Sus scrofa: one gene and its partners. The protein of the gene in region 1 purifies or fractionates together with the protein of each later gene. This does not show direct contact. Links are inferred from orthologs where the notes say so. Each region holds a gene or a part of one and is shown in the gene's direction. Other genes may lie near its edges.

The links. The genes of interacting proteins can lie anywhere in the genome.
Region 2: the proteins of PSMA7 (region 1) and PSMG3 purify together in Homo sapiens (affinity purification with mass spectrometry; 3 studies listed by BioGRID and IntAct, with this or other methods). This does not show direct contact. The link is inferred for Sus scrofa from reciprocal best matches to the Homo sapiens genes PSMA7 and PSMG3.
Region 3: the proteins of PSMA7 (region 1) and PSMD5 fractionate together in Homo sapiens (co-fractionation; 3 studies listed by BioGRID). This does not show direct contact. The link is inferred for Sus scrofa from reciprocal best matches to the Homo sapiens genes PSMA7 and PSMD5.

Annotation. Positions count from the first base shown.
Region 1 is NC_010459.5:61,568,347-61,573,012, reverse strand, and holds the start of PSMA7 (proteasome subunit alpha type-7), read left to right. Parts: upstream 1-1,496; 5' UTR 1,497-1,647; coding exon 1,648-1,743; intron 1,744-3,452; coding exon 3,453-3,579; intron 3,580-4,140; coding exon 4,141-4,265; intron 4,266-4,666. Other genes in the region: SS18L1 (calcium-responsive transactivator), read right to left, coding at 1,072-1,140.
Region 2 is NC_010445.4:1,051,558-1,056,013, reverse strand, and holds PSMG3 (proteasome assembly chaperone 3), read left to right. Parts: upstream 1-1,297; 5' UTR 1,298-1,328; exon of another isoform or gene 1,329-1,362; intron 1,363-1,935; 5' UTR 1,936-1,963; coding exon 1,964-2,179; intron 2,180-3,334; coding exon 3,335-3,487; 3' UTR 3,488-3,829; downstream 3,830-4,456. UniProt on the Homo sapiens protein: Chaperone protein which promotes assembly of the 20S proteasome. May cooperate with PSMG1-PSMG2 heterodimers to orchestrate the correct assembly of proteasomes.
Region 3 is NC_010443.5:260,865,609-260,870,124, reverse strand, and holds the start of PSMD5 (26S proteasome non-ATPase regulatory subunit 5), read left to right. Parts: upstream 1-1,357; 5' UTR 1,358-1,456; coding exon 1,457-1,629; intron 1,630-4,516. Other genes in the region: protein CutA homolog, read right to left, coding at 789-1,253. UniProt on the Homo sapiens protein: Acts as a chaperone during the assembly of the 26S proteasome, specifically of the base subcomplex of the PA700/19S regulatory complex (RC).

The DNA of each region.
Region 1 (4,666 bases):
TTAGAAAGGAGAGCAACCTGGCTACCCGACATCGAGGAACTCAAAGGGGAAGAGTCGAGAGCCACTTTCTCCTGAGCTTTATCTTCTAAACAGAAGCAGTAAAAATTTTAAATTTCCATTTCAAAACCTAAGACTTGTATTAAAATGTCCCCAAACCCACGTGAAGGTTATGTCTAGGAAACCACGAGGCCAAACTTATAGCACGCAGGCAAGGCTGTAAAACCAGTCTGTAAAGTTTTGTTAGGTGAAGAGGCTGGCGAAGTGTCAAGGCTGAAAAGCAGCGTGACACTCCAATAAGAGCGGCCGGCCAGCCGGCCCCGAGGCGTGGAGCGCTCCTTAAAGGGCTGCGGGGCTGCAAGACCGGCGCCCTCACTCTGGATGCACCTCTTTGTGCCTCGTAATGCCAGCACCTAAATGGCAGGCGGGGCCGGCGGCTGGGACGGATCCCCGTCGCCCCATGTGCCCCGTGCGCCCTCCACCAGCCAAACTGCGCGCGGGGGCGGGGGGCCGCCCACGGCGCAGCGTCACCACTTTCCCAGTCAGGAGGGTCCCCTCGGCGCACCGGGCGGCTCGCAGACACCACCCTGCGGACGCCCGGTCCGGACGCCGTGCACCCGCACCCCGGCCCCGAAGGCGACGGGTCTCCACTGTCCCCGGCGGGGCCCGGGGTCGTCCCTGGCTTGGCTCTGCGGACATCACCCTGCAGACAACATCCCTTGGACACCACCCTGCGGGCACCCGGTCCTGCCGCCCTGCGCTCCTGCCCCGCGGCCCCGGGCCCAGAAGACGGCGCGTCCCCACTGTGGCCGGTGAGGCCCGGGGTCGTTCCGGGCTGGGCTCCGAGGACACCACCCCACGCGCCGCCTTGAGCCCCAACCCACCGCCCCCGCGCACCCCCGCCCACATTGGCGCACGCTGGCCACAGAGCGCGCGCGGGGCCCCAGCGGGGTCGCGGCGGTCGGCTGCGCCCCGGCTTTGTTCGCGCCCCGCGCCCGCCGGCTGCCCTCGACCCGGCCCAGCGCCCGCCCGCACCCCGTGGCCCCCAGCCCGGGACCGCGGCCCCCAGCCCACCTTCTGGATGGTTTGCTGCGTGACCTCCCCTTTGCCTCTCGGCCGGGCGGACGCGAAGGCCACCGACATGGTCGCGGGCGCAGGATCAGCCCGAGATCATCGGGGTTTATTCTCCGGCTGCGCTCGGCGGCCAGAGGCGCTCATTCTCCGCAGTCGCTGGGGGGCGGGGGGCGCGGGGGGTGCTGCGCCGTGGACTCGCCCGCCCCTCCGTCGCCGCGTTGCCTCCGGACCCGCCGCCTCGCCGCTCCGCGCGCCGCCGCAGCCTGAGACCGAGCTCCGCGCGGCGCCCCCGGGCGGCCGCCTCGCGCTCCGCGCCGGGCCCGCCGCCGCCGCCACCGCCGCCGCCGCCGCACCGCCCCCCGCGCCCGGCCGTCGGTGGTTCGGCCCGGCCCCGCCCCGGCGCGCGCACGTCGCCCGACGCCGCCTTACGCCCGCCTTACGCCAGCAGCGCAGTCGGCGGCGCCGGGGGCGGACGGGCGCGCGGCGCGGGCGCGGGCGCAGCGACGTCGTGAATCGCGGGCTGCGCGGGCCGTGAGTGTGCGCTTTTCCCGGGTCCGGCCGCGTCGCCCCGCCGGCATGAGCTACGACCGCGCCATCACCGTCTTTTCGCCCGACGGCCACCTCTTCCAAGTGGAGTACGCGCAGGAGGCCGTGAAGAAGGGCTCGACTGCGGTGAGCGGCGGCCCCGCGGGGCCTGCACGTCCGGGGATGGGCAGGGCCCGGGCGGCTGGGGAGGCCGCGCTGACCGGCGCCGAGTGCTTCGGGCTCGGGTAGCACAGGGGCGGGGGGGCGCACGGCAGCCGTCACGTGGGGCTTGCTTCGGGAAGGGGCGCTGCGGACCGTGGCCTGCAGACCGCAGGCCTTGGGGCTCCTCCGGTGTCCGGAGCCGAGCGCGCCTGCCGGCGGCGCCATTTTGGGGGTTCGGGGGCCGCGGCTGGGCGGGGGGGGGGGGCTCCGAGCGGCGGGCCAGCCCCTTACCCGGAACGCGCCTTAAGGCACCAAATGATTTGCGCGAACGGCATGCGGACCGCTCCCAGTGAGGGGGCTTCCCCGACCGGGAAAGCAGTGGGCCGGCTTCGAGGACAAAGGGCGGCCGCCGGGCTCAGCAGCAGCCCTGCCGTCCCCGGGCAGCCCGGCGCAGCTGGCAGGCCCCTCCGGGTGTGACCGCCCCCCTCGTCCCCTCGCACCTGAGCGCGGCTGTCGTTTAGGCCGCGGTTTGAAACGTAAATGCAATGGTGCCTTCAGTACGCTTGGCAGTTTGCTTATTGGCTAAACTGTACGATGGTTTTTATTTTATTATTTGGTGTGTCAGAGGTTTGGCCAGAGAGAAAACACACGATTCTGTGAATCTTGGAAGTATTTTCATCTCTTGAACCTCTTCTGCAATGGGGGCTCCAAATCCACCTTGCGACCTATTTCAGCTTAGAGACTAGTGGGGGAGTCGCCTGGCACCTGTCTCCCCCCGCCCCCATTGCATGTGGGGCCCGCCGGCAGGCTACCTTTCTTTAACCAGCGCCTCTGAGCAGGGCCTTCTTGTCTTTGGGAGCTTTAAAGACCAGGTCAGTTTGTAGGAAAGTTGCTTGAAACTTGGAAACACAGCCGACCAGGGCTTCTCTGCAGCCCAGGGGGCGTTTGGCAACGGCCAGGAGACTTCTAGAGGCAGAGGCCGGGCAGAGGCCGGGCGGACGGTAAGCATCCTTCAGTGAGCCGGGCCGCCCTCACATCCAAGAATTGGCGGGCCCGGTGCCCACAGTCCTGAGGCTCAGAAGCCCTGCTCTGGGCTCGGGCGGATGTCGCTCTGCCCAGTGACCGTTTCATGCGCAGCGGCTGCTGTTCCCATTGAGGGCTGTCGACAGGCAATCGTGATTTTTTTCCCCATGTGCGTAAGACATCCTTCTACCTGCGAAGCGACAGCCAGAAACAGCCAGTGGCCTCCCGGGGGTAGCTGACACGTCCACCTGGTCACATCAGGCACTTGCCCACTGCCGTGCACACAGGTTACCGAAGTGCGGGAGCGGGGAGGGTTTGGGTGTGACTTCACAGCCACGCAACACTGCTTTCAGGACAGCTATTTCTGTGTTAAGGACTCAGGCCTAAAGGCTTTACGCCGAATTCCGAATCATGGGGTTGAAGGGGCACATACACGTGGGTCACACACGGTGGTGGTTTTCAGTTGAACTGAAACTGAAGCCTAAGGCCAAGAGTGGGCACCTGGCTGGCGACGCCTGAGGTAGTTGTGCATAAGCGGGTCCAGCCCCACGGTTTGCAGGCTGTGCGTGCCCCCTGCCCCAGTGGTCATGGGGCCGCGGCAACAGCCGCTCTTCGTGCTCTGGGCTGGGATCGCGTCACACGTTTAAGTGCCACGGTGATGCCCGTTGAAGGTTGGCGTCCGCGGAAGGGACATCGTCGTCCTCGGCGTGGAGAAGAAGTCGGTGGCCAGGCTGCAGGACGAGCGGACCGTGCGGAAGATCTGCGCCCTGGACGACAACGTCTGCATGGCGTTCGCGGGTGAGCCTGGGGCCGGGGCTCTCCTCCTGCCTCCTACGAGGGTCACCCGGGGAAGCGCTGCCGGGGACGCCCACGCCGGGGAACAGACCGTTTCCAAGAAACAGGTGCGGCCTGCTTCTTGGGCAGGAGGGTCCCTCTCCGGTGGCTGACGCACAGGCTCTCAGCAGACGCCCGGGGTGAGGGGCTGTGCGGTGGCCCCGTGCTTTCAGCGGCATGTCGCCGTGGGAAAGGTGGGGCCGTCCGGCGCTCTGCTGTCAGGTGCGGTCAGCTCCTGTGGTTCCGCTCATCTCCCTCCTCGCTCATCTCCCTCCTCGGCAGGGAGCGCCCGGTTTACCCAATCCAGAGGTTGACTTGCTTTGTCCCGGGACGCGTGCTGGTCGCCCGCCCAGCTTTCTCAGAGAAGCGCGTGGGGGCTGCTGCTTCCGCCGCCAGTCACTCAGGCGCCGCGCTGGGAACCGGGAGCCGGTCTTAGAAGCCGCCAGAGGTTGTGCCGTCCATGCCGTGCTGGTTTGGACCACTGACTGGAAGGTGGGGCTCAGGCTAGCTCTCCGGTCACCGCAGGCCTCACCGCGGACGCACGGATAGTCATCAACAGGGCGCGGGTGGAGTGCCAGAGCCACCGGCTGACCGTGGAGGACCCGGTCACTGTGGAGTACATCACCCGCTACATCGCCAGCCTGAAGCAGGTAGGCGCCGCCTGCCCTGGGTCGGCTCCCGTCACGGGGCCGTCACCAGTTAGTGTCCTGCTGCGGGTGCGTCACGGGGGTTCAGCAGCAGCCTCACGGGGTGGTCCTCGCCTGCCTCGTGTAACTTCCCATCCTTCGCCTAGTGGTACCTGAAATTTTCTTCTTACGAGGTGATGTGGGCTCATCTCTGGAGGGAAACGCTGTGGCTTTTGTCATGCCCTCCCCAATGATCAGTCACCAGGCAGGTGCGAGGCGCTGACAGTCCCCCTACCCTGGTGATATTCTGGTCACCTGTGAACCGAGTGTGTCTGCGGCAAAGTAGCCCCAGGTCGCCCCGGCCGTGCTCCGGGGGGACGTGCAGCCAGGGTGGGAGCAATGCTGAAAGCCGCTGGCCCGTGTCA
Region 2 (4,456 bases), on another chromosome or scaffold:
CAGAGGTTTCCGCGTAGTAGTTTCCCACCCCCTGACCCCACGCCGTTCCTCGGCTGTAAATTCCCACCGGCTCCTGTGGTTTTGAACACGCGCGACCGATCAGTGAAGAAAGGATGTTGCAGCCATCAAGCTGTCACATTACAGCCACCACGACGGTGCACCCAGAGGACGAAGGCCGTGAACGCTGAAATCACTTGGGGTTGATGGGAATGAGCCCAGACTTTGCATCACCCGCCCCCCCCCCCCCCACTCACGGAGAAGCACTAAATTCCTTTTTTCTTTTTTTTTTTTTTTTTCTCTTTTTGCCATTTCTTGGGCCACTCCCGCGGCATATGGAGGTTCCCAGGCTAGGGGTCTAATCGGAGCTGTAGCCACCGGCCTACGCCAGAGCCACAGCCCCACGGGATCCAAGCCACATCTGCAACCTACACCACAGCTCAGGGCAACGCCGGATCCTTAACCCACGGAGCGAGGCCAGGGACCGAACCCGCAACCTCACGGTTCCCAGTCGGGCTCGTTAACCACTGCGCCAGGACGGGAACTCCAAGCACTAAACGCCTGGAGAGGTCTGGTTCCTTAACGGACAGCGACCTCCCCACGCGCCAGCTACCTGGTCTTTGCGCGGAACCGCCCGGAGGTGCCGGCTCCTGCCTCACCTCTACGGAGCGGGCTCCCAGTTAGATGCTGGGCCCCAGGCTCGGGTCCTCAGCTTGGTGTGCCACACGAAACGTAAGGCTCAGCTTTCGGGGTGCGCCTTTCTTTTCCGCCCACCCGTGTGCGGGGTGAGCCCGGCTCCACACCGGGGTCTCCTGCGCGCTCTGTGAAGCGCCCTGGGCGGAACCCGCTTTCAGCGCCTTAACTGCGGTCCAGCCCTGGTTTTCTCTCGGCTCCCTGTGCTTGCAGCAGCGCCCTGGAACCCACGGCCAAGGGGCCAGGGACCCCACTGCGGCTCCCCGGTGACAGAGGAGCAGGGCCGCCGTCAGGAGCGCCCGAGGTCGCCCCTGGGGAGAAGCCGGAGGCCGCTCTACTGCGGGGCCGAGGGGCCGAGGGGCCGAAGGGCGAGACCGCCCTTGGGAAGAAGCTGGAGGCTGCGCTCCCGAGCTTGGGGCCGCAGCCCCTCGCGCGACTCGGTGCCCAGCCCGTCGCTGCTGGCGGGCGGGCAGCCCAGCGCCTCAGAGCCCAGCGGCCCCGGCGCGACCGGAAGCCCTGCGGGCTGCACTTCCGGCGGGGGCCGCAGAGCCCGCGGGCGCGTCTGGCGCTCGGGAGCGGGGCGGGGCCTTAGGGGGCGGGGCCGCGCCGCCACCGGCGTCATTTCCGGGCGCGGCCTGGTGAGCGCGGGCGGCATGGCGGGCGGCAGGGAGGGTAGGGGGCCGCGGAGGCTGGAGCGGGAAGGCGAGGGCGGGCGCCCCCACGGTTGGCGCCCCAGCCACGGTCGCCATCTGCCTCCTGGCTCGGTGACGTGCTGCTTCTCCTGTGGGGCCGGTGGTTTTCCCAAGTGCAGAAAACGGAACCTCAATGGGCGCACTGGAGGGACGGCAGGAGCGTGGCCACCTGCTCTGGCCTGGCTTTTGCACCTGCACCTGCGGCGCTTTCAGCCCTTCACCCCCCCGGCAGTGGCACCACCGAGGGCCCCAGGACTCAGAGCCTCGGGATGGGGTGGGGTCACAGTGATGCTTAACAGCAGGGGCCCCAAGCGCGTGGAAGAGGAAAGAAAAGCATATTTTGACATCCTGCCTCCTTTGCCTGGCTAGTTTATGTATACAAGTGTGTCTACTCAATGAATCTAGAAAGTTTTGGGCAAATGAGGCCTGTAAGGGTTAACAGATACAGGCTTTTGAATGAGCCCACTTGTATTTCTGTTTTAATGCCAAATGGTACTTACTCTGGAGCCCCAAGGCCATCTGATGCTGATTTACTCTCTTTATTCTTAACAAGCTGAAGGGGCCATTGAACAGACCCAACCATGGAAGGCAAACCATTGGTGATGTCGAAACAGACGACTGCGGTAGTGTGTGGCGTCCCTACCCAGGTGGTATGCACAGCCTTCAGCAGTCACATCCTGGTGGTGGTGACCCAGTTCGGGAAAATGGGTACCCTGGTCTCCCTGGAATCCAGCAGCATGACCAGTGACATCAGCAAGCCTGTGCTCACCACCAAAGTTCTTCTCGGGCAGGACGAGGTAAAGGGATGGGGGCGGGAGCCCGGTGGCTACAATTTGTTAATACACACGGGGAGCATCTCTGGGCAGACGCCCCCACGCCCACCGCCACCAGCCCTCGACAGCATTTTCCGGGGCCTCTCTGCGTCTGAGGGCATCCACCTGCCCTTGGTGGCTGCTGCTTCCAGCCCATCAGCATTTTATCCTGCAGACAGGCGGAGGTATTGATTTTGCGATGTAGGCCTCCCCTCAGTTTGACCCTGTCATGATACATTATGGTAATGACTGGTTGTGCATGCTTCGTTCTGGAAAGACCATCTGTGAGCCTTGACAGGTTGCCTCTGCAGACTTTCAGGGGTCCTTCCAGAGCAGAAATCGCCGGAAGAGACAGGAACCAGAAGCACGAAAGGGACAAGTTTAATGATGCTCCTTAGCAGTGCGTTTATGACTGGAGTGCCCTGAGTCTCTTTGAACCTGAGTTACTGTCACACTGAACTTACCAGGTGGTGACTGAATGGTTGGAAGCCAGGCCGGGTTTCTCGGGGGGACTAGGAAGGCATTAAGAAGAAAAGAGGTTGGACCTAGAAATTATCACGCCAAGTGAAGTCAGGCAGATGGTGAGATGCCAACCTCAAATGCTGTCACTTACATGTGGGATCTAAAAAAAAGGACACAATGGGGCGTTCCCGTTGTGACGCAGCGGAAACAAATCTGACTAGGAACCATGAGGTTGCGGGTTCGATCCCTGGCCTCGCTCAGTGGGTTGAGGATCCGGCGTTGCCGTGAGCTGTGGTGTAGGTCGCAGACGCGGCTCGGATCTGGCATTGCTGTGGCTGTGGTGCAGGCTGGTGGCTACAGCTCCAATTAGACCCCTAGCCTGGGAACCTCCATGTGCCACAGGTGCGGCCCTACAGAGACAAAAAAAAAAAAAAGGACACAGTGAACTTCTTTGCAGAACAGATACTGACTCACAGACTGAAAAGCTTATGGTTTCCAAATGAGACAGGTCGGGGGCGGGCAGGGGCTTGGGATGGAAATGCTCAAAATCGGGCTGTGAGGCTCATCGCACAACTGTAAATGTAATAAAACCCATTGAGGAATTTAAAATAAAACTAATTTAGAAGAAGACAAGCGATTTCTTGCAGTTAAAATGCCTTCTCTCTCTGCCCTCACCAGCCTCTCATCCATGTCTTTGCAAAGAACCTGGTGGCCTTTGTGTCTCAGGAAGCTGGAAACAGAGCAGTCCTCCTCGCCTTGGCCGTGAAGGACAAGAGCATGGAGGGAGTGACGGCCCTGAAGGAGGTGATCCGGACGTGCCAGGTGTGGTGACCCTGGGGCAGCCACTCCTGCTGCCCGTCAGGACCAAGCGGAAACTCAGACACCGTCTCGAGGCTCTGGAGACCCTTCAGCCAGAAGGAGGAGCGTTCTCAGGCTTTAGCCCTCGAAACCGGAAGAACCGTGCACATCTGAGGCCGACTGGTTTGGAGGCTGACACCCCCGGCGGAGGGAGGCGAGCCGAAGGTGTCCTAGGAGAGCTGTGAGCGGTTCTCTCCGGCTCCCGAGAGTGGCACGTAGTTGAGAGTTGACGGAATGAGTCATGGCCCCCGATGTGCAGGTCATTTGTTGGGGGAGATGTTTGTCTTATTAAAAATAAATGCACATTCCAGAGTACCTCACCGTCTTTCGCGACGGTGCTGAGACATTTCCGTCGCGCGGCGTAAATCCGCTGCGGTGGTCTCGGCCTGAAGCCCACAGCCTCATCCTGCTCCTCTGCCTGTGGCCTCTCTGAGCGTCCCGGTCCCCGGACTGCTGGTTGGTACCCTGGCCTCCGGAGCCACATCCTTGAAAGCTGGGGCCAGACACATATACCCCAGGAGGAGGGGGTCAGGCAGGGAGGAGGGCAGGGGGGGCAGGCTAGGCGGCGCCTCACTTCCAGAGAGGCCGGGACATGGGAGAAGCTGGGACCGGGACATGGGAAGCTGCCCGGCTGGGAGGCCCAAGGGCTGGGAGGGCCTGTGTGTGCTGAGGCCTCAGACGGGACGCTGAGCCCAGCGAGGGGGCTGAAGGGCTTCAGGGCTCGCGGGGTCTGCCCCTTGGAGATGTTCCTGGGGCTTGACCTCAGGGTGACGTGTCCACGTGGAAGGCAGCCTGTGGCCACCCACGCCTGTGACAAAGGGCAGCCGGGGACCCATCTGGGCTCCTTCATCCCTCCACATTCAGCGACCAGGGTCGTTTCTGTTTGACCCTTTGTCTCGTGAGAACGGGGGGTGGGGGGGACAGGAGAGTTGAGGTAGGAGC
Region 3 (4,516 bases), on another chromosome or scaffold:
ATGCGGCTTCAATCTCTGGCCTCGTTCAGTGGGTTAAAGATCTGGCTTGCCATGTGGTGTAGGTCGCAGACCCAGCTCGGATCCTACATGGCTGTGGGGAGGCTGGCAGCTGCAGCTCCGATGTGACCCCTAGCCTGGGAACTTCCATATGGCGCACCTGTGGCCCTAAAAAAGATTTTTTTTTGTTAAATAATTCCAGGTTCGATGAGTAAGACAATTAGGAAACCAATCCAAAATGATGACAGCTGTTAAAGATACTGTTAGTGACCGCCAGAAAACAGGAAGGCGTTTATTTTTTTCCACAAGACAAGTAGGATTAGGATCTTCATAAAGCAGCAACGATTTTTATCATTTTCTCACCTGCATCGATGGCACAAAAAATGAGGGAAAATCTATCCTTAGCTTCCTCTAAACTTTCCGGATTTTTGTTTCTTTCCCCAAAAACACACGAAGGAAAGCACTTTCAAAACAGGCTCATCTCCTTGGCGTTGAAGACCTACTGAGACACAAAGCCTCCGGCTCCCCTCAGTTTCTGGAGTTGCTTGGAATACATGAGAGCCGACTGGGTATTTAACGGTTCTTCCTCCCCCACCAACTTCGAATTTCTCAGACTACAGCCACTTCCCCACTTCTCAAACCATCCCTTGTACGCTGAAAACTTCTCTGGGTTGCCCCCGCAGCTGGCCTTCGGCGTCAGAGACCGGCCCCCTTTGGTCTAATCCTACACCCAAAAGATTAACGCAAGTCTCCATCTTCTCAATGTTTACGACACGGGGAATGCACAGCACCTGGAGTAGATGGCGAAATATGCTGGCCCTGATGGCCTTCTCGTTTTGCTTCAGGATCCGTGTGGTTGCCTGACTGACGCCCAAAGGGCGCCCCACGCCGCCTTTACTCACGCCTTCCTCCAGGTTATCGAGAATTTTCATTTCGTCTTCCAGAGCCATGACCCTCCGCCTCCTCTTAAAACGTCTTTGGCCCGGGAGCAGTACGCCCATCCCTCCGCTCGGCCTAAGACGCTGCTCAAGCTGCAGCGGCCTCCACTTTAACCACTGCTGAGAGCCTGGCTTTAGAGCCGGGGGACGCCCGCAGGGCCGTTTAACCTTCGGTTGGTCCTCATTCTCCCTACTCCGCTTGCGGGGCACTTCCTCTGCCTTCCCTCTCGGTGGGAAAGAAGCAAACAGACCGCAGCATCGGACTGTGGAACTAACAGAGCCGTAGCCAAGATGACACCCCGCGCGACCCCGTAACATCAGCGACCCCAATGGGTCCTGGTCTCGCGAGGCTTAGCAGCCCCTGAGCGCGCGCGGCCGCCAACTCTGAAATGCTATTGGCTCGCCCTGGCTGGTCCCAGTCCTGCCAAAACTCAGGGAACAGAGGCTGCGCCAGGCGGATCTCGCGAGGTTCGGGAAAATGCGCCGGGAAGAGGGCCGGCACATAGGCGGGAGGGGGCAAGATGGCGGCCCAGGTGCTGGCGCTCCTGAGGGAGGTGTCGCGGCTGGAGGCGCCGCTGGAGGAGCTGCGCGCTCTGCAATCGGTGCTGCAGTCGGTGCCACTCAGCGAGCTCCGTGAGCATGCTGCGGAACTGCACCTCGGTCCGCTTTTCTCCCTGCTCAACGAGAACCATCGGTGAGAGGATCCTTCTACTTGAGAAGGGGAGAGTGACACCCCCAGTTATGGAGACAGGGATGGCGTGGTAGCGGGGGAGGCTTTTCCCAGTCTCAGAGAAGGTTGAATTTAGCTGAAATTTCAGAGAGGGGAGGATTCTGGGCTGAAAAGCGAAAGACAGTGTTCAAGTCCAGGCTCTGAGGTGTGCCCCTGGCAGTCGCTTGCCAGGGAGGACTCCACAATCCTATATCGAAGTCCTTGACTTTTCTCCTCCTCTTAAGAAGGGGTACTATCCTGGCAATTTGACCGGATCCATCAATATTTTAAACTCATACCTTTTGATCCAGTAATTCCTGTTATAGAAATTTAACGTAGAGGTATGCTCGCACACAAAATGTACTTTCATGATAGAAGGTGACAGCAAAACAAAAAAAAAAACCTAGGAACAACCTGAATATCCAATAAAAGGGGATTCTTAAATTGATGATACGTGACTATGTAATGCTATGAAGCTATTAGAAAAACTGAGGCAGATCCAGTATGTGGACATGGAAAGATCTCTAATATATGTTGCTGAATAAAAAGAAGAAAATTGAAGCCTTTATGATCTCATTATGTGTAATTTTAGAAAAGGATTACAGGAGTTTCCTGGTGGCTCAGCAGGTTAGGGATTCCACATTGTCACTGCATTGGCTCTAGTTACTCCTGTGGCACAGGTTTGATTCCTGGTCTGGTAACTTCTGAATGCCGGAAGGTGCAGCCAAAAAGGGGGGGTGGGGGCGGTTACAACCCTCCTACACCCTTGTGAACACAGGCCAGTGTAACATTAAGAGTATCTGAAACTATTAACATACAAGTGCAACTTTGAATGGTAGGTTGGCAACTATTTTCATTTTATGTACATCTGTAGTGTTTGATTTTAAACACTTTGTATTTGATCATCTGATAACTTAAAAGACTTTTGAAATGTTTGTGATCCAGAAATTGTAAAAGAGCTTTTCTTCTGGAAGAGAATGAAGCACTGGATCAACACTGGGTGATTTCAGAGGGTTTTCTTGGCTCTGACCTTCTAAAAGTCCTCCCTTTTCATATGTGTTCTCCCTCTGTTAATTTCTCTTAGTTAACATTCAAGTCTGCCTGTGCAATGTCTCTGTCCATTTTAATTCAGGCCCTCATTTTCTCCCTTTTGTTAGGTCTGTTGCATTAGTCTGACTTCTCATTCATTACCTCTGAGCTTCCTTTTCTAGTGTGTCCTTCCCACATTGCAACCACAGTGAACTGCCCAGGTCGTTTGGCTCACATCTTTTCCATGGTTTCCCATTGACTCCAGTGTAAAATCATGACTTGTTAGTCTGGCATTTGGACCTTACAATATGTTTCCACCCTACTTTTCCAGCCTCATCCTTTTTCTCCACTCTACACATTTCATCTGCTCCAGCTACCGCGTGGCAATACTTACTTTCCCTTGAGCATGACTTGGCACTTTCCTAACTTTGTTCACACCAGTCCTTCTAACTGAAATGCCTCACCCTCTCTCCAAATCTGTCCATCCTTTAAGGCCCAGGTGAATTACCACCTCATCCAAAAAGGCTTTCTCAGTCACTACAGTTGGCAAGGGACTGGCCACGGATCTCCAGATCTGTTAACTTCTATTAATGATATTTGACAGTATCGCTTTATGTTATAATTCCATATGTGTTTGTTTCTAATCTGTAAATTCTTTGAAGGCAAAGAATATTTTGTTCATCTCTGCATGCTTCCTAAGGTGTAGCACATAATACAATATATGGCAAATGAGACATTAAACTCATGAATTTTAGAGAGCCCACCTAGTCCAATCACTTTATATTAAAGATGAAGAGAGTTTCAGTGACCACAACATAAGTTAATACCAGAGTTGCAATAGGAACAGAAATTTAGGGGAGTTTGAAGACAAAGTTTCATGGGATAGGTGGTTTATTGAATGGAGGAGCAGTGCTCTAGGAAACAATTTTAATGGAAATTTAAAGATAAAGTTATTCAGAACTCAGCACGTCATAGCTACTAATTACGATTTGTGGGAACATTCATTCTCTGGATAGTGGATTGGCAATATACATTTTCCTGATTAAATCACACAGGTTTATATGTTGGTTTGGGGTTTGGTTTTGTTTTTTGGGTTTTTTTTGTTTGTTTGGTATATGGAGTTCCTGGGCTAGGCCAGGCCAGGGATCAGATCCAAGCTTTAGTTGCAACATAAGCCACAGCTGTGGCAACACGGATCCTTAACCCACTGTGCTGGGCCAAGGATCAAACGTGCATCCCAGTACTCCCAAGATGCCACCAGTCCCGTTGTGCCACAGCGGGAACTCTGGATCTTTGCTGATAGTTATAAATCTAGACTTGACTGGAATTTTTGTGAGGGAAAGTAAGTCCTAAGATTACTTCCTTAAACATAAAAGGCTAACAAGACTGTATGTTATTAATTCTTTGGTTTCTTGATTTCAGAGGGCCACATGTGACCCTGTATCTGTGCATTGTACAGTTTAACCTACTATTGCTTTAAAGAGAAAAAAATTATTGGGAGTTCCTGTTGTGGTGCAGCAGAAATGAATCCGACTAGTATCCATGAGGATGCAGGTTCGATCCCTAGCCTTGCCCAGTGGGTTGGGGATCTGTTGTTGCCCTGAGCTGTGGTGTAGGTGGCAGATGGGACTCAGATCCCTTATTGCCGTGGCTGTGGTGTAGGCCAGCAGCTGTAGCTCCAATTAGACCCCTAACCTGGGACCTTCCATATGCTTTGGCCCTAAAAAGCAAAAAAACCCAAACAAACAAAAAAACACTTTATTGATACATAATTTACCAAAATAAACTGCACGTAGTAAAATACAGTTTGACAAGTTTTGGCATGTATATACCACAAAACCAT